Linked DNA regions of Neodiprion lecontei. The protein of the gene in region 2 interacts with the protein of the main gene of each other region in a pairwise test. Links are inferred from orthologs where the notes say so. Each region holds a gene or a part of one and is shown on either strand. Other genes may lie near its edges.

Region 1 (5,129 bases), on a different chromosome or scaffold from region 2:
TGTTTATTATCTTCGCTATGCGGTTTTTAATCAGATAACGTTGTATTAATTACCACATGAATGAATCACAATCGCTAGCGTATATTTTATTAAGAGAGTAATGATCATTTGCTACATCAGATCATTACATTTACGATCGAATTCGGGATTCGCGTTATTACCATGCTTTGTAATAAGCGTACTTATATCAAAATGTCTACGATTTTACGTAACGTTTCGGTATCAATAAATGCGATAAGAAAATGAATATGCTCGTTTGACTCGTTGTATTACGTCATCGCTTCTCCACTCTCCTTTTAAGCGAAATTAAATAAATTCCTAGCAAATATGATCACAGCACGCGAATTGAATAATACGTTTACGTATGGAATTTTATTCTTATAAAGTAAAGTTTAAAAATGATATTCAAAAATTGAACAATATTTGTTAGCGATATATTTTTATATATAATTTTCCGTATTTTTTTTCGAATATGCAGCGATTTATTCATAACATAGTAATGTAGGTTTACTTATCAACGAATTATTTTTTTCTATTCATTGGTTTGGACTTGTGTTACGAGAAAATAATAAAACGCTCGATCGCGCATATTTCGTTACACCTTTGAATGTGAACAACGACCAGGCATATCCGCATCAGACGGCATGAGTCACTTTCCGATGACGTCATTGCGTCCTACAGACCACTTGCAGAGTTACGTTTGTGGCATTCGAGACCCATTTTAATAGTGTGTACAGTAGTTATTTAAAACATATTTAGCAGTAATATAATTATTTTATACAAAAACAATTTTTCGATTAATTGAAATTTTCGCAACCCGACTGCATTAATTACGGCAACGCGGCCAATCAACGGATCTGAATAATATTGTAAACAAAGACAAATGTGTTTAAAAATATACACAAGTATATAAGATATAATATTGATCAGAACCGCTTGAAATATTTATTTATTTTGTTCATTATAAAGACAATCAACAGTAAATTCCTCAATTATTATAATTACAATTGAACTCATAGTGTGGAACACTCGCAAGCGAGATTGTGCGGAGTGGCTGCCCGCGCATTTATTTATAATGGATATTCGAGTGGAAATTTCCACCAATTTGTTATCGCAGGAAAATGATTTGGGATATTTATAAGAAAGGCATTATCGTCGTAGCGAGGAAACAAGCAAAATATGTATATTGTACACACGGACAGGATTCACACGTGAATGCGCGCGTGCGTGCGTACACGTGTCCGTAAAATGCGTGAGCCTCGCGAGCTGTGATCACGGTCATATGAAAGTAATACAAGTGTAGAATGACGTCATTGGATGACGTCAGCGCAACCCTACCACGATTTGTAAGTTATATGCGAAGACGAGGGCGAGGGTGACGAGGGTCACTGCGCGTAGACAAACACGTATACTTACCCATGTGCTAAGAATCGCGTTTAAAGAGCATACAATTAACAAGAAATCATAGAAATTACTGAAAACGCTTTGATCGGTGGGTAGCACCGAGACTGATTAATGTCTGTAAATTTTACGAGCGCTCATCCGCGTTCTTTAGTAAACTGACCTATGAAAGTACTTTGCGATTTCTTTGATATTTCGGTAGACGCCGTCCATATTTATGACATAATAATTGACTCATTGGATGTATATTTCTCGGTTGCGAATTCTCATCGAGTATTTTCGATTTGTTGGCTCTTGAAAACGCACATTTAAAACAATAACACTAAGACGACGGTATTGAGCAATAGCGTGGTGATTGTGCTAATTTGGACTCCCGCGTTACCGTTCGCCGAAGAAAAGTAGTTCTGCCAAGCTTGGTTATCAACGGATAATTATGAAATTGTATGATCTGGGTTTTTTTTTTTAAGGACATAAATTACTAATAATATCTTCGATTCTACTGCTCGAAGACGGTTGTTCGTTAACGAGCACATAATTCCGTAATTAATAAAGAAGAAAAGTGATCAAGCGGTTCGGCATTCACCATTCGCCATTACGCGCGCGGAGTTATACAGGCGCCATTTTGATCGTGACGCGAAGTTCACTCGTCGTGAGCTCCACCAGTGACGAAGCCACTGGAGTTTTGACGTGGCTGCTACGTACTTGCCCGTTTGCCCACTCCGATTGCAGCAAAGTTGGTGACGAGGAATACGTAACTGGTAAGTACTCAGCTGGAGAATAATAACAACCGAGCATGGACCACCGTTATTGCGATAGACCCGAAATGCTCATTGGATGTTAGCATTTTATTTTACAGCCTTAAATAAGGGATAGTTGAGTGTCTACAGTGTATAAAGGTACAAAATATGGCGTCTCGAGATACATGTTTGTATATGTAATTCTTTAAAACCATACCCGCTACTACGCGATACACGTCGTTATACTCGACCGTTAGAAAACGATCCTTTTGCTGTGTGTTACGATTTTATATTACTCTTGTCACATCTCACGCGATTGTTTACTCATTGCTTCGTCGCGGATGAAGAATGATGAAAAAGAAACATTCTCAATAAACATCATTTTATATTCTTCATTTATTTATTTTTAGCCCTCTTTGATGTAAATGACGCAGTAGCATTGGAGGAATTTTACGCGGCGGGAAAAAGGCACACGTTTCAAAACTTCACTTTAAATGGCAGCTTCATTTAAAAAATATGTGCAAATTACACTTGCACAAATGTCATTTACACTGTTGATTGTTGTCGTCAAATGATGAAGGACTTTCTTTTTCAGTCTTTTAATCATTATACTATAATTTAAGCTTTTACTAATAGTTTACATTACCCTGTTTTAACAAGAACAAGAATATATCATTCAACACAAATAATCTGGTTTTACCAAGTTACACATGTCAATATTTTCTGCCAAACATCAGTGACGATAGTGTGCTGCTTATCTAAGTGGATGCGGTTTTTAAGTTTTGTTATACATCCGCCCGTGTTGATATATTCAAGATTCCAAGATCGAAAGTAGTAAGACAATTATATTATATTTTCACAGCTTTTCCTTTTGTTTTCGTGTTTCTTTTTCTTTTCTTTTTTTTTTTTATTTTACATCAACTACATGTATATTGAAGCTTATGATTGATTTCGTCGAATGTAATGTAAGAAAAATATTTGTTTTGTGTGACGTCCAGCCTTATATATTTCTATGTCACAATTGATCGAAACTAATAAGCGTAAATTGAATTTCAGGGCTAGCGGTCCCCAGGCTATGGAAAGTATGGTTGAAGAAAACGGATCTACCGTTGACCCGTTGTCGCAGGGATCTCAGAGTGGAGATGCTGCACCTGCGATAGCAACATCGGTACAATCTTTGAGTAGATCCCAGCACCATCTGGTGGCTTCGACCAGCATTGTGCAACTGACGCTTCCTTTATCAGGGACAACGCAGGTATACAGGACACGCTCCTGTGTATCCATGCCTGATTGATTAATTTATCAAAACCAAATTCCTTCTTTTTTTCTCTGCGGTTACTTATTTGTTATCTTCATACTCTCAAGGCATGTTTACCGCGATACCTAATTCGTTATTTACTCTGCTTCGTTATTTTATAATTACACGTTCATATATTTTCACTGTACTTCACGAGTAGTAGGTATTAGATACATTACTTCATAATTTTGCATAATGCTGGTTCGTTTTGGCCCTTGATGTTTGTACACTATTTGTTACTACTTTTTTATAAATCTTTAATTTTATTCAGGTTGAAGAAAGGAATGTAAGCGTATGATTCATCTCTTTAGTACACGATGAAAATAATATTCTCTTATTTATTTTGCAATTCTCACTTTCATTGTTATATCAATATTTGATGTTTATACCTTCAACAACGATTCATGTTAACGTAACATGTGTTTCAATGCATAATAAATTGTATTGCTAATATCTCAATTCAATCGACTTTTGATTTTCTCAGTAATCATAGTTTGAACTTTAGTTTTACTCAATGTATGTTTTACTACTGTTACGCAGTGCAACGATGTAAATCTCCAGCAAACTGATTATCTTATCACATCACCTCAAAGGGTGATCCGCACACCTGACATAGATCACTTTTGAGCGACCACCTGCGTCGTTCAAGTTTGAAAGTTAGCCGAAATAATTTACAGTAATGGCATTTCGAAATATACCATCGAAATATCTACGTGGCATGTTTCTTTTTCTAATTCTATTCAGTACATCAGTTGTATTTCGAAATGCCGGTGAGATACAAAAAATTCACTCGAAAATATCCTCCTTAAAAAAGTATATCGCCCATACACAGTTTTTCCAATGTATTATAAAACTTGTGTCTCTCGCTTGTTTCGTTTACTTATACATTGCCAAATGTATTTATCGAAAAGTACAAAATTAGTTGATGAATCTAATAGTTCTCTTTTCTCACTGTACAGGTTTTATTGTGATAGATTATTTTCGTTGAATTGCTCGCCTGTAATCAATTAATGTCTTGAGCTACTACCTCATTGATGATACTTCTGGTGACATTTATTTCTTTATCGCCATTTGCAGGTACAATCGGTGATACAGCCAAACCAGCAGTCCGTTATTCAGACTGCTACAAACATCCAGCCGGTTGCTCTTTCCAAGGCAAACGTCATTCTCGTCAGTAAGCCCAATTCAGTCATACAAACGACGCAAGGCAGCCTACAAACTTTACAGGTATGTCAGCATTTGTAACATATGATCTTCACTTATTCTATAAACGAGTAATAATTTTTTCCCAATCAATTGAATCATCGAGTATTGTTTTCTCATACCTGTTATCACTCATTCAAGGTTGTCGAAACTGGAAGTGATGACAGCTTTTCGGACGAGGAATCCCCAAAAAAGAGGAGGGATATTCTAACCAGAAGACCATCTTACAGAAAAATCCTCAACGATTTAGGCGGAGGTGAGATTGCAGGTAAATATACCTTGCTGGATTTATTTTCGTTCCAAAATAAAGATATAAATAGGGAAAGTCCATTAGTTGTATTCATATCAAGAGCACAGTTGTTTAAAGTGCAATGTATTTTATCCTTTTTATCGATATTCCAAGTTTGTATCAATTTCCGGTATGACCTGGGGGATCTTTTTGCTTTTGATATTCAAATGCTTATCAGTGTCTATAAATTCCGTCACTACTT
Region 2 (4,857 bases):
GCCTGAAGAATCAGTCATGTCCAAGCTCACTTTATCTGCCGAGTACTGGGGATTGATTCTGTACAGCCCCCTGACACTCACCACTCGTATACCAAAAAATTGTACGCGTTTTGCCCCCGTTTTTTAGTTCCTCTACGTGGCGCTTGTGGACTTCTGACACGCTCGCTGCCCTCGCTGACCGCGCGCAAGCAAGTCAGGCGACTATTAGCGCCACTAGTGGTGGAAATTGGCGGCAGAATCGAGGGACATTTTGCGAACCACTATTAGCAGCGTGTGTCAGGGGGCTGATTCTGTAGTTACACTTTTAACATTTCCCACCATCCAAGCATTCTGATTGGTTGACTAAACTTTTCGAATCAATCAGAATTTTGGATGGTGGGAAATTTGAAAAGAGAATTTACAAAAGCGATTCCTTGGTGACGATCTGAATACCGTTGACTGAGGATATATATATGTATATATATACCCGGGGTCCCTGAATTACCCTGGATACTCCGTCTCTCCCACTCTGCATTCATTAGCTGAGAGACGGGCCACAGTTTTTGCGAGGTTGACGGCATGGGCATCTATCGCCAGTAGTATACCTATGATTTGAAGCTGATACCAATACGAATTCGAATCTGCAGCTCCTCGAACATCTGATACGTAACAAGTCAGTGCCGTTTTTCCCAGGTTCATTGGAAACGAATGACGAAATTGGTAATTAATTAGAAAGAAATCGAGATGCAATCAGAAATAATCGTCACTTGGACCCAAATCATATTTATTTTGTTTCGGATACAATTTCGAATTCACCGCTAGTCGACATAACCCACAAATTAGATGTTCTGGTTCAATCGAGTTGTGTTCGCTTATTTTTTTAGACTCCATCAATCGATGCATCCATTATTTTTAGCGTTAGTGGCCATCGCTGTTTTCCATCGACGCAGAGTTTGTAAACATCTTCCATATGTTTGGAATCTGAGTCTCCTAGGACCGAACTGCTTGCAGCGTATAGTAATAACAAGCTCCGCATCAACTGCGGGTGAGGTTGAAGAATACCAATTTGTAGGGTTATTTTTATTACTTCGTAAAGTGGTACTGCGTGTTGATTGTGCAAACGATGCGCAAGCAATTCACATCGTAATTTGCAGAGTGTTTTCAAAGCTACACGCCTAAGATGATATTTAATAGTGGCTTGCTGAAATTCAGTACCCCATTTTCAATCTCGACTTATAGCAAAGCGAGTAAACTCGTAAATAATTTATCACGATATTCTTTCAATTCGAGCCACACGCAAAAGTTCTAACGTAATTTCCGACGATTTAGTTCGACACGGGCGTCAACGTTACGAACCTGGCCGATTAATCTTTAGAAGCGTCGTATTATAATTGAAACGCAGATTTGAATGGCGAACCGCGCATGCTGCCGCGCTAGTGGAAACTAGAGTCCCTAGGGAAATCTGCTGGGAACGTCGTATAGCGACATCTGCGTCGTACGTGCGAAAGCTAAGCAAATGCCAACTGCAACTGGCAGCGACGTGTGGCGGAGAATCAGAACACCGGAATAGGGATGTTGATCAGTTCTTCGTGTGGCCATCTAGAAGGCAGTGGCGTTCATTTTTTTAACATTTTCATTGGTGCGGTCGGTATAACAAACGTGGGAATAGTATAGTTGCAAGTCAAAAATCCAGTGCCGAGCCATCATGGCGAACCCTCGGAAATTCAGTGAAAAGATAGCTCTTTTGAATCAGAAACAGGCGGAGGAAACTGCCGCGTTCGAGGCAATCATGCGAGAGGTTTCCGACGTCACGAGCAGAGTAAGAGATTTCTTTTATTTTCACTCGGACACGTCTGCCGTGTATCCTCTAACCCGGACATTAAAACGTAAACAACGAACCTCTTACACCTCCTCTCTAGTATTGGTTGGTGCGTGTTATATGCAGCGAGCGCGCCGTAGCTACATGATATCTATAGACGTATCGTATTCGTACATACTTTTCACTCATGTTCACGCACAGTCCGAACCGCCTCACACCATTTCGCAACGAATGTAGCCAATGTTCGATGATTGTTGCTTCGATTTTTTTTCCGCGCCTCATTGTCAAGAGGTTCCAATAGTTGTTTCATTGTCACGATAGGAAATAAAGAATAAGAAAAGAATCAGACAAATACCAACCGTTGCCGTCGAATCTTCGTTATTACACGGCCATCCGTCGCCTGTCTGTCTCCACGTTACTTTCCTATATTATTATTGTAACTATTATTATTTTGTTTTTCATTCTCTGTTTACATCAGTTTTCTTTTCCACACCTTTTTCACGCGACGATTACGTCTGCTTCTGCGAGAGCTCGCGCCCAGCTCCCATGTGTATGTTTTTGCTCCTTTATCTCTCCTTCTTTTTCTCTCTCTTTCTCTCTCTCTCTCTCTCTCTCTCCCCACTTCTTCCGGTTACATGTATCTTGCTATGGGTATGTTTCACGGTTCGGACTCGACCCCATCGCCAACCACCGTCGGCGCCTGAAACGAGAATGTACCTCCTACGTTGCATCCGAAAAACGTTCGTTCGATCTTCCCACTTGTGACAATTGACAATCGGCGGTAAACGTAATGTGACATCTGCCGCGTGATTGCGTGTCTCTCTCATTTTCGCTTCGTTCGAGGCCTCTGCAAATGCGACGCATCGTACACGCGTATACATACGTAAAGACGCACGTATAGCATCACACGAGTAGGAGACGTACTTACCAACACACGCGTCCGCTTCTCCCTCCGTTTACCAACGAATGCATGCGTACACACCTATACATGTAGATCAGCGCACAATACAACACACGTGTTCACACAGTGCACGCGACAGGTTTGTGCATTAGCAGCGTGTACGTATTTGTGTGCAGGCAGCAGACAGATATGTATATATACGGTAGATACATATCGTACCTCATAATCCGATAAACACTCCGAGAGGCACATTTCATTATTTACACAAATGTCAAAATAGTACTCCGGCAATGCCGCATAACTTGACCCAACACGTTCGCAACAAACGTCTGTGGACATTATTTATTGCGATTTCGCATTGCATCTATAATAGTACTACTCTATTATGTAAGCTTTATTTAATGATGTTTATTCGTTGCGATTAGTGCTTTTTTTTCTTAAACCTTTTTCACACAATCTTTTATTATGTTATATATGCTGTCAAAAGATCTTGCTCATATCAATTTATATTATTCTTTAATTGGTTTGATTTCGTTGTTTGTTTCGTTTTGATTTTTTCAAGTTTTATTTTATTTTGTTTTTATCGGTCTCTGTCTCTCTCGCTCGCTCTCTTTCTCTTCCTCTTCCTCTTCCGTCACCTTAAATCGTGCTGTCGTGTCGAGGCCCGTGTATTTATACATTGCTTATATATATATATATCTGTATGTATACACTATCAGTATAGATTTATTTATTGTATCTACTTTTATGTTTACGTCAGGATTCTTCAGCTTTTTATTCTATTGAATAATATGTCGTTATTGGTCGGTGATACGATGTTTATTTTTCATTTTACACAACGTCGTTGCGTTGAAATTCCTCCCCCCTCCGCCCCAACCCATAAAAAAAAATCGTACGGACATAAAATTGTTATTATATTAATGATGTTACCATTGCGTGATTGTCTGCGAAATATGCGTAACGAAGATAGATTTCCGTCAAGAATTGTCGTCTGTAAACAAACAAAAATTTCATCGCTGAATATGAGAGACAGCTACGTATGAGAAATGAAATGAAATGAGATAATTTAAAAACCGCAATAATTTATTGTATTATGCATGAATTATACGGGTATACTCCATGGGAATGCGTAGGCATGTGGATTCATCACGAATTAAGACGTTCAATCACTTTTCGCGAAGACAATAGATTATACATTTCCGTTCGTAACTCGTAAGCAACCCAGTTGTGGGAACATCTGTATCATACGTTGGGTTTTTTTTTTTTTTTTTTTCGTTTTACCGTCACAAACTGTAATGTGTGTTAAAAAATTTTGGCACAGACATCTATTAGATGAAGTAATTTTTAGTCAATTACTCAACTGTTCGTGGTATGGGGGAAAATTATTCAAGTTTATGAATACATATACGTGTACATGAAAATACAACGTAATGTATAGCCGTATAGAATATTATAATTATACATTGAGAAAAAACGTTTGCTAGACTTGCGGCAATAATCATTTTTTATTTATTTGCTTGGTAATGATAAATCTGACACTTTTACAACTATCACAAGTATTGTTTGACTTGGTGAAATCGCTTTTTCTCGTAGCTACAAAATTACGAATTATTTAGTTGAATTAAGAACGTTTTCTATGATTCGCAAAAATAGATTTCAACGGGTTGACAACAGAATATTTTACAGGGAAAAAATTATGAATTTTATCGAAGAGTTAGAAATTGATTTCAAGCAATTGACACTCGTCAAAGCCAAGTGTATATATTCTGTGAGTTGAACGACGTTCATTAACACAACCACTTACAAATATCGAGATGCAGTCTTTTGGATAATTTTGCCGTGGGTCAGAATTTTCGAAAAAGTCGATAGTCCGGCAGACTAAGACTTCATTTCGATATTGTAAGTGGTTGTGCCAACTTGACGAACGTAGTTGAACATATATTAGGAGATGTAAAATCGACTAAATATTTCATCAACAGCCAGTAATGAATTAATTTTATTGGATTAACTGCAATTTTTTAAATACTTTTGAATAGTTCGTCATTTGATACTTGGAAGTAAACATTTCTTTTTTTGTAACAAAGATTAGTTGGAAGTTTGCCGTTGCGTTGAATCAAGTGCATCCAAAGTCGAAGAATTTTTTTCTCACCGTAGCACC

The links.
Region 1: the proteins of CREB-regulated transcription coactivator 1 (region 2) and cyclic AMP-responsive element-binding protein 1 interact in binary tests that used the Homo sapiens proteins (3 or more experiments, as listed by UniProt). The link is inferred for Neodiprion lecontei from reciprocal best matches to the Homo sapiens genes CRTC1 and CREB1.

Annotation. Positions count from the first base shown.
Region 1 is NC_060264.1:3,829,780-3,834,908, reverse strand, and holds the start of cyclic AMP-responsive element-binding protein 1, read left to right. Parts: upstream 1-1,883; 5' UTR 1,884-2,159; intron 2,160-2,242; exon of another isoform or gene 2,243-2,257; 5' UTR 2,258-2,297; intron 2,298-2,683; exon of another isoform or gene 2,684-2,972; intron 2,973-3,194; 5' UTR 3,195-3,213; coding exon 3,214-3,393; intron 3,394-4,512; coding exon 4,513-4,662; intron 4,663-4,779; coding exon 4,780-4,906; intron 4,907-5,129.
Region 2 is NC_060266.1:17,462,053-17,466,909, forward strand, and holds the start of CREB-regulated transcription coactivator 1, read left to right. Parts: upstream 1-1,552; 5' UTR 1,553-1,684; coding exon 1,685-1,798; exon of another isoform or gene 1,799-2,221; intron 2,222-2,291; exon of another isoform or gene 2,292-2,645; intron 2,646-2,726; exon of another isoform or gene 2,727-2,866; intron 2,867-4,857. UniProt on the Homo sapiens protein: Transcriptional coactivator for CREB1 which activates transcription through both consensus and variant cAMP response element (CRE) sites.